2 linked regions of the Tribolium castaneum genome follow. The protein of the gene in region 1 purifies or fractionates together with the protein of each later gene. This does not show direct contact. Links are inferred from orthologs where the notes say so. Each region holds a gene or a part of one and is shown in the gene's direction. Other genes may lie near its edges.

The links. The genes of interacting proteins can lie anywhere in the genome.
Region 2: the proteins of wts (region 1) and jub purify together in Drosophila melanogaster (affinity purification with western blotting; 4 studies listed by BioGRID). This does not show direct contact. The link is inferred for Tribolium castaneum from reciprocal best matches to the Drosophila melanogaster genes wts and jub.

The regions. Positions count from the first base shown.
Region 1 is NC_087397.1:10,557,618-10,561,180, reverse strand, and holds the end of wts (serine/threonine-protein kinase Warts), read left to right. Parts: intron 1-1,196; coding exon 1,197-1,625; 3' UTR 1,626-3,061; downstream 3,062-3,563. Other genes in the region: Rab11 (ras-related protein Rab-11A), read left to right, coding at 3,410-3,449. UniProt on the Drosophila melanogaster protein: Negative regulator of Yorkie (Yki) in the Hippo/SWH (Sav/Wts/Hpo) signaling pathway that plays a pivotal role in organ size control and tumor suppression by restricting proliferation and promoting apoptosis.
Region 2 is NC_087398.1:13,261,951-13,265,930, reverse strand, and holds the start of jub (LIM domain-containing protein jub), read left to right. Parts: upstream 1-1,171; coding exon 1,172-2,321; intron 2,322-3,980. Other genes in the region: coiled-coil domain-containing protein 43, read right to left, coding at 262-717, 766-936. UniProt on the Drosophila melanogaster protein: Regulates organ size by inhibiting apoptosis and promoting cell proliferation by influencing the expression of G1/S-specific cyclin-E (CycE) and apoptosis 1 inhibitor (th). Negatively regulates the Hippo signaling pathway.

The DNA.
Region 1 (3,563 bases):
TATTTAATGAATTTGAAAAAAAAAGCTCAAAACATTTTTTATACAAAAAATGATACAATTCAATTTTCTTTTTTTTTAATGAAAACACCTTATATTTTATGCATTTTTAGATATACATGGTTGTTAATCAGAATGTTGTTTTTTACTATTAAATTTTGAAATACTTGTCAAAAAAACATTTTAAAAATATAAAAAATACAACAGAATATGTTTACCTAAGGGTGTTTAAGTAAGTTTGAATAATAAAAATTTCTGGACATAAAAAGAACTTTTAAACATAAAATACTTCCTTGTTTTGGATTTCGAGAATCTTCCTATAATATTTTCTTAAGTAATAATAATTTATTTATTAGTAATAAATAGTTAATAAATGTGCATTATAATGACTTCTAATGTTATTAATTTAAAAAAAAAAATTGTTCATTACACTTTATATTTATTAAAATTTATAAAAACAATGAAAACTGAAGTTTTGGGGCCATACCCTCTAGGATGCCTCTGGATCCGTCCTTATTTGAACTCTTTAATTTTGTGAGTTCGTGAGTTCTGCATTTACTTTTTTTGAATACATTAATTAAGTTCATGTGGTCTCATTCTACGAATTTTTTTGTAGCCACTTACGATACGTGTTTTAAAATCGTATGTGCATGTCTATTGTCTATTTTATTTTATATTATTTCTGTTTTAGATATCTATCTAAAATAATGCTGCTTGCATTGAAGATGAAGTATTTTTGAAATTCTTGATTTTTGAAATCTATAAGTAGGGGTCATTTGTTTTTTTAATAACACATACATTTTTCCAATTTTAATTTTTAACTTCCACGTATATCTTTTTTTAGTCCTGTCGTTATTGTGATTATTTTCTTTTTCAATATCCTAGTGAAGATCCTTATTACTATACCTCACAGATATTACATTTATGTTTAAAAGTACTTTTAAAACCAAAATAAGTTTCATGTAGGTTCTATGTCACTGTTGAAAAAACTGAAAGAATATTTGTCATGTTTAATGTTTTTTTTGTTTTAAAGCTACATGGCTTCGTAAAATGTTTTATAAATTAATTTTCTTATTGTATACTATTTCTTCGATAAATTATTCAATTAGAAATGCACGTAATTCAGATATATTGCCTTAATCTCAAAGCCGTATTGATCAGGAGTGGCGTTGAAATCTGACGATGTTTGTTGATTTTAGGTGATAAACTGGGAGACGACGTTGCAAATACCAAAGCAAGCGAATCTTTCCAAGGAAAGTACTGACTTGATATTAAAATTGTGTTGTAGTGCGGACAAACGCTTAGGTAAAAATGCTAGTGAAGTGAAGTCGCATCCGTTCTTCAAAGACATCGATTTCGACCGAGGTTTGCGTCGCCAGCCGGCCCCGCACATACCTCGAATCGAATACCCCACAGATACGTCAAATTTCGATCCGATCGATCCCGACAAGTTACGAAATTCGGCTTCGATCGATTCGAGCACTTCCGACGAACTGACCGATAGTTCTAAGCCGTTTCACGGCTTTTTCGAATTCACATTCAGGCGTTTTTTCGATGACGGAGGTGGTCCCGCTTTTAATAAAATCAGTCTAGACGATAATGACAATCAAGGCTCTGTGTATGTGTAATCTTCTTGGAAATGTTCCGAGATGGACCCTCGGAACATGGATTTTCGCTCGGTTTTTGCTCTTGCCAACTGGAATTTGTACGCAAGATTGTGTTTTTGCTCTCGTGTCTGGTTAGTTCAAATAAGGACTCCTAGGCCTTATTTAATGATGGTTTAGCGCCGCTTTCGTTACGGCACGCTTTTGAAGTGTGGCGTAACGGGGGCGGGGCTTGTTTTGCAACCAAAGCCTTAAAATAGCTGCCTTGTTCTACTTTTTATAGGAAAGCTCAAATTTTCATACTTTGGTAAGAACTGAAAGATTCTATAGTACAATTCGCTATTTGAATTAAAAAATTGTATAGCGTGTAAATTATTTAAAAATTGAAGAAATGGTGCTAATTCTTATTCATACGTTAAATGTGATATCCACTGAATGTCTATAAAAATTATTTCTGACTTGTTGGAGTGGTTGTTCTATTGCATTTATGTCGAGCTTTAGAGGCCTGGAACGCGAAGAAAGACCTCGATAGGCGGGGCTAGTGCGCAGTGGCGTAGCAATTAACTATTTAAATTGATACTTCCTACTATTCGTCCATATATTCAGTCGTAGCAATACAATAGGTACAAAAAGTTACATCTTGTTCTATTACACAAGAATAAAAAATTGTTATTTATTGTTTTGTAACAAAATAAATTCATAGATTGTTTGCGCACCCCCACCATCGCGGTCATTCTGTCATTTCACGGTCTCTACGGCGTCAACTGGCATTTAATTAAAAACAATTGGAATCGTTGAGGTGTTGTCACTGTGACTGAGCAGTTTTGAAATGTTTTTATGGACAGTCAGTTGTATGCAACAATAAATTATTATTGTATATTATGTACAATACTCTAGGGATTTGTAAATATAATTATATCGTCGAAGTGTAATGGTCGGTCTAAAGGTACTAACTAACCACTTGCGGGGTTTTTGTTAAGTTGTTAGATGGAAAAATTGTGAATTAGTTGAAGAGAGCAAGGAAAATTAACAAGCACTGCCTTTTTTAACTAAAAAGAATAAAAGCATTATTTAATAATCTTGCAGTAAATCAAAATAGTTTTGTAAGAGCATAATGTTTAATTTTTTTCTCAGAAAAAAAATGCTGTGTTACAATTAGTTTTAATGATACGCTCATAACTTAATGCTTAGTTAAATATTTATTACATTTCCCCTCATTCTAAAATTAATTTGTAACACCCTCCTAGCTTAAGTATGGATTAATTTAGCATATAATTTTTCTAGTCTATTGGAATTTTTTTATCGTTTAAATATATTATTGATTTAAATGTTGTTTATAGGTCATAATGTTGTTCCTTAATTATGCAAGAAAATAGTAAAAGCGTATGCACTTAGGAAATTATGATTTGAGTGCCTACATAGTGTAAATGTGTGTAAATAATTATATATTTTTGGAAACATCCCGTCTCTGATTTCCAACCTTGGGCTACGCCACTGCGTTGATGGGCAATGTGGCAGTGCACGCGCATGCGCAAACAATCGAAAATCTGACAGTTCAAAGGGGCGTTCTAATCTGCGAACAATAAAAGAAGAGTGGGTCGCCATTTTGTTCGCTATAAAATCGTAAAGATCTTACCAAAGTTATATAAAACATCCCTGACCGAAACCAAAACTTATCGTTTGAAATGTGTCTGTGATATAAACAGTGGAGTGTAAATAGCGGTATATTTGTGATATGCACTAATTGTCTGTGTGTTTTTATTTTGGTACATTTTGGAGAGGGTGCAGATCAGCTGAAGGGACAGAAAATGAGTTCGAAGGACGATGAATACGATTATTTGTTCAAAGGTAAGCGTCCAATTGGGGCCCTTGTTATCGCACTTTGACGTTGCGGACCTTGGAGGTAATTGACACTTGACGTAAATTTTGTTCCCGTGTGACAAGTCAGCAATGTCAGAGGTC
Region 2 (3,980 bases), on another chromosome or scaffold:
AAAGGGCTTAAAACACGTTTTGTTTTTAATATTAAGTAGGTAATTTATTAAAAATATTCTACAGTCCACACCAAGGGTCATTTTTAAATTCAGACTGTTTATAAAAATAAATCGTCTCCATACATAAAATTGTAAAAATCAACTTTGTCTCAATACATATTCGTCGCTTTTGCCTTACTAGAATAACCATTTTATCAACATTTATTATTCACAATAGAACCACGAGAAAAACCAAAAAAATCCTACAAATTTTCAACGTCGCTACCTTCTTCTTTCCCCTTTTTGAGTCTTGCGCTTCTCCTTCTTTTCCTCTCTTAGCTGTTTCTGCTTTTCCCTATCTTCCTTATCCTTTTCCTTCTTCCTCTGACTATCAAGTTTGGCCTGTTCTCGTTTCACTTTCTCAGCTTGGAGGACAGACTGTACATTTGTGTTTTTTTCCAAGCCATTCTCTTTGTGATCCCCTGCCTGATTCCCATCCTCGGCCTCGTCCTCATCGTCCGTCATTTGCGAGTACTGCATCAAAATCGCCTCACGAATTTTCTTCTCTTCTTCTGTGTACTTTTTTTGTTTGGTGGTGGCCAATGACTGAGATTCTAGTAATTTGACAAGTTTTGTATCCACGTCCTCGCTGGTGCTCTGAGCCGGGGGCGGCTCTTTGCGTTTGTGAAACTGCCATTTCTCGAGGATTTCGTTACATATTTTATTTATTTCGTCCTCCTAAAAAGGCGACATGTGAAGGTGCTTGAGTGGGGGTACACAACTCACATTTTGAATTATTTCCGAAAGTATTCCTTGTAGGGCCTCGGATTTTTCCTCGCAGGACTCATCGCTGTCTAAAATGCCTTGAATGTACGAGCCGAAGACACTTTCATCCGTGTTTAACTCCTCCAAAGTGCGACTTAACCATGAAGAAAAGTCCTCCATGGCGGTGGCCATTTTTATTCAAAATTTTAGTGACTTTTCGGTTTACGCGTGGGATGCCCAACCTGTTTGTTTGTTGTTTTAATGGCGGCGCTGTCATTTTGCTGTCATTTTTTTTACGTTCGGTCGTTTTATTACCTCATCTCCGGTTAATTATGTATTTATTTATGAGTAATTATTGAAATATGTCGATTGAGTTACTTAATTTAAGTGAAAACTGCCGTTCTGTGATTAAATCAATTTGGTGATAATGTCGAACCTTCGCGGTGACTTGGATCCTTCTTTGGATCAGTCGTTCGAGCAAAAAATGCAGTACATGTCCCTCAACGACTCGAATCCACGGTACGGCCGCATCATGGGGAAGGCAGAGCCGGCGGTGCCCCCTTACCACCAGAAACAAAAATCGATGGGGGCCATCGAAAGTTTCGTAGCAGAAGGACCGACCCAGCAGAAATCAAACGATTACACTTTGTATGAAAGAAACAACATCATTGCCAGTTCTAAATACGCCACTCCTAAACAAGTCGAGACCCTAGTACAGAAGCAAGTCGAAGAGAATGATATTTACGTCCAGTGCGCTAAGCCCCAAGTACCCCCAAATGCGAGCCCCACTCACTCTTTAAGCGGCTCATCGCAACACTCCGGCAGCCCCCGAACCAGCATGGCCAACCAAACCCCAGTTTACGAAAACATCGACTACTACTCCACTCGGAACTACCAACCCCCTTACTACCACTCCATGGAAAGTAACTACCGGAAAGCCCAGCCCCAAGTCCCCTCAATCAACCGCAACATCACGCGTGATGGTGAGGCTTTGCCCGTTTACGAAAACTTGCAGTCTTTGGGGCAGAAATCCAGCGGGGCTACGCCGGGGCCCCAAGTGCCTTCAAATCAAGCACCGCCTCCATACCCCACCCAATCGTACCAACAGACGTACCCCCAAATGCACAAAACGGTTCTCAAAGCCCCGTACTACCCCAGTTATAATAAAAATTTGACTAAACAACAGCTGGATGAAATCAATAGCAGTGATTATGTCTGTATGACTGGGAATATCTCGCACACTTTGAGTACGAACGTGCCGTTTCAAACGTCCACTGCCAAAAACTACAATAGAGAGCCTGGTACTGGCATTGCCACTACGCCGTCAGTTTTGCCCAAAAGTCCGATTGTGAAGGAGAAAGTTGAGGTGAGACCGCCACCGGTTCCGAGCCCCACGCCCAGCGCTTGTAGTACTTTGAGTGCTGGGAAATTGAAAATGAGTGGAAAGACTTTGTTGCCCTATAATGTTACACCGCCGAGGCCAAGGGGGCCCACGGAGGCAGAAAGGAAAATTGAGGAGATGACTAGGCAGATTGAAGAGGAAATGGAGAAGCATGAGGAGGAAGGGGAATATTTTGGTAATTGTTTTTTTATGAAAATTTTTAGCCATAATTTTATTGTCGTTTTTATGTTTTTAATAAGAAAGTAGACCAAAAGAAAATAATTATTAATTACATATCTATCGTTACATATCTATATATTCTAGTCATTAATGAAAAAGACAACGTGCAAAATTGCTTCGTTTTATTTTTTTTTAAAGTGTTTGCCACCCGTTTGTTTTTTTCTTGTCATTTTATGCTTGTATTAAGAAACTAGACCGAAAAACATCTGCTAGAAGATTTATTCATTGATAAAAAAGAAAGCGTGCAAAAGTTGATTCGTTTTATTTTTTAAGGTGTTTGCCACACATCTTTCTTTTTCTTGCAATTTTGTTTGTAATAAGAAGACTAGAAAGAAGGAAACGTCACTATATGTATAAATAACTACTGATAACTATATAGTTTCGGTAATCTGTGCTAGAAGATCTATCCACTAATGAAAAAGAAAGCTTGCAAAAATTCATTCATTTTTTTGTGTTTGCCACACGTTTGTTTTTTTTTGTCATTTTATGATTGTGATAAGAAAACTAAACGGAAATAAAGGTCTCTAAATAAATAATTACGTGGTTGTGTTAGTCTGTGTCAGAAGATTTATTCATTAATGAAAAAGAAAGCTTCCAAAAACTGATTCGTTGTATTTTTTTGCTACATATCTGTTATTTTTTTCTTGCAATTTTATGGTTGTAGTAAGAAAACTACACAGAAAAGAACGTCTCCTAATAAACAATATGTACGATTGTTGTGGTAGTTTGTGCTAGAAGATTCAATAATTAATGAATAAAAAAGCGTTCGAAAATTGTTTCGTTTAATTTTTTTAAAGTGTTTGCCACATGTCTGTTATTTTCTTTTAATTTTATAGTCATTAAAAGAAACTAGATAGAAAGAAAAGTCTCCTAATAAATAAAAAGCAATTAAATTAGTTGTGGTTGTCTGGCTAGAAGATTCATTAATTAATGAAGAAAAAAGCGTTCGAAAATTATTTCGTTTTTTTTTAAGGTGTTTGCCACTTGTTTGTTTTTTTCTTTCAGTTTTATGATTATAATAAGAAAATTAGATAAAAAGAAAAGTCTCCAAATAATTTATTACATAGTTGTGGTAGTATGAAAAAGTAACCTTGCAAAATTTTATTTTTTTAACGTGTTTGCCATATGTCTGTTTTTTTTTTGCTTTTTATAGTTGTAATAAGAAAACTAGACAGAAAAAAATAATTACATAGTCGTGGTAGTTTGTGTTGGAAGATTAATTAATTAATGAAGAAAAAAGCGTTCGAAAATTGTTTTGTTTTATTTTTTTAAGGTGTTTGCCACATGTTTGTTTTCTTTCAATTTTATGGTTGTAATAAGAAAACTAGAAGTCTCCAGATACGTAATTACAAATTAAGTAATTACATAGTTGTGGTAGTCTGGCTAGACGATTCTTTCATTATTAATGAAAAAATAAGCTTGCAAAATTTGATTTGTTTTATTTTTTCAAGGTGTTTGCCATGTGTCTGTTTTTTTTTGCTTTTTTACGGTTGTAATAAGTAAAATAGACAGAAAAAACGTTTCCTAATAAATAATTGCGTAGTTATCGTAGTTTGTGTTAGAAGATTCATTAATTAATGAAGAAAAAAGCGTTCAAAAATTGTTTCGTTTATTT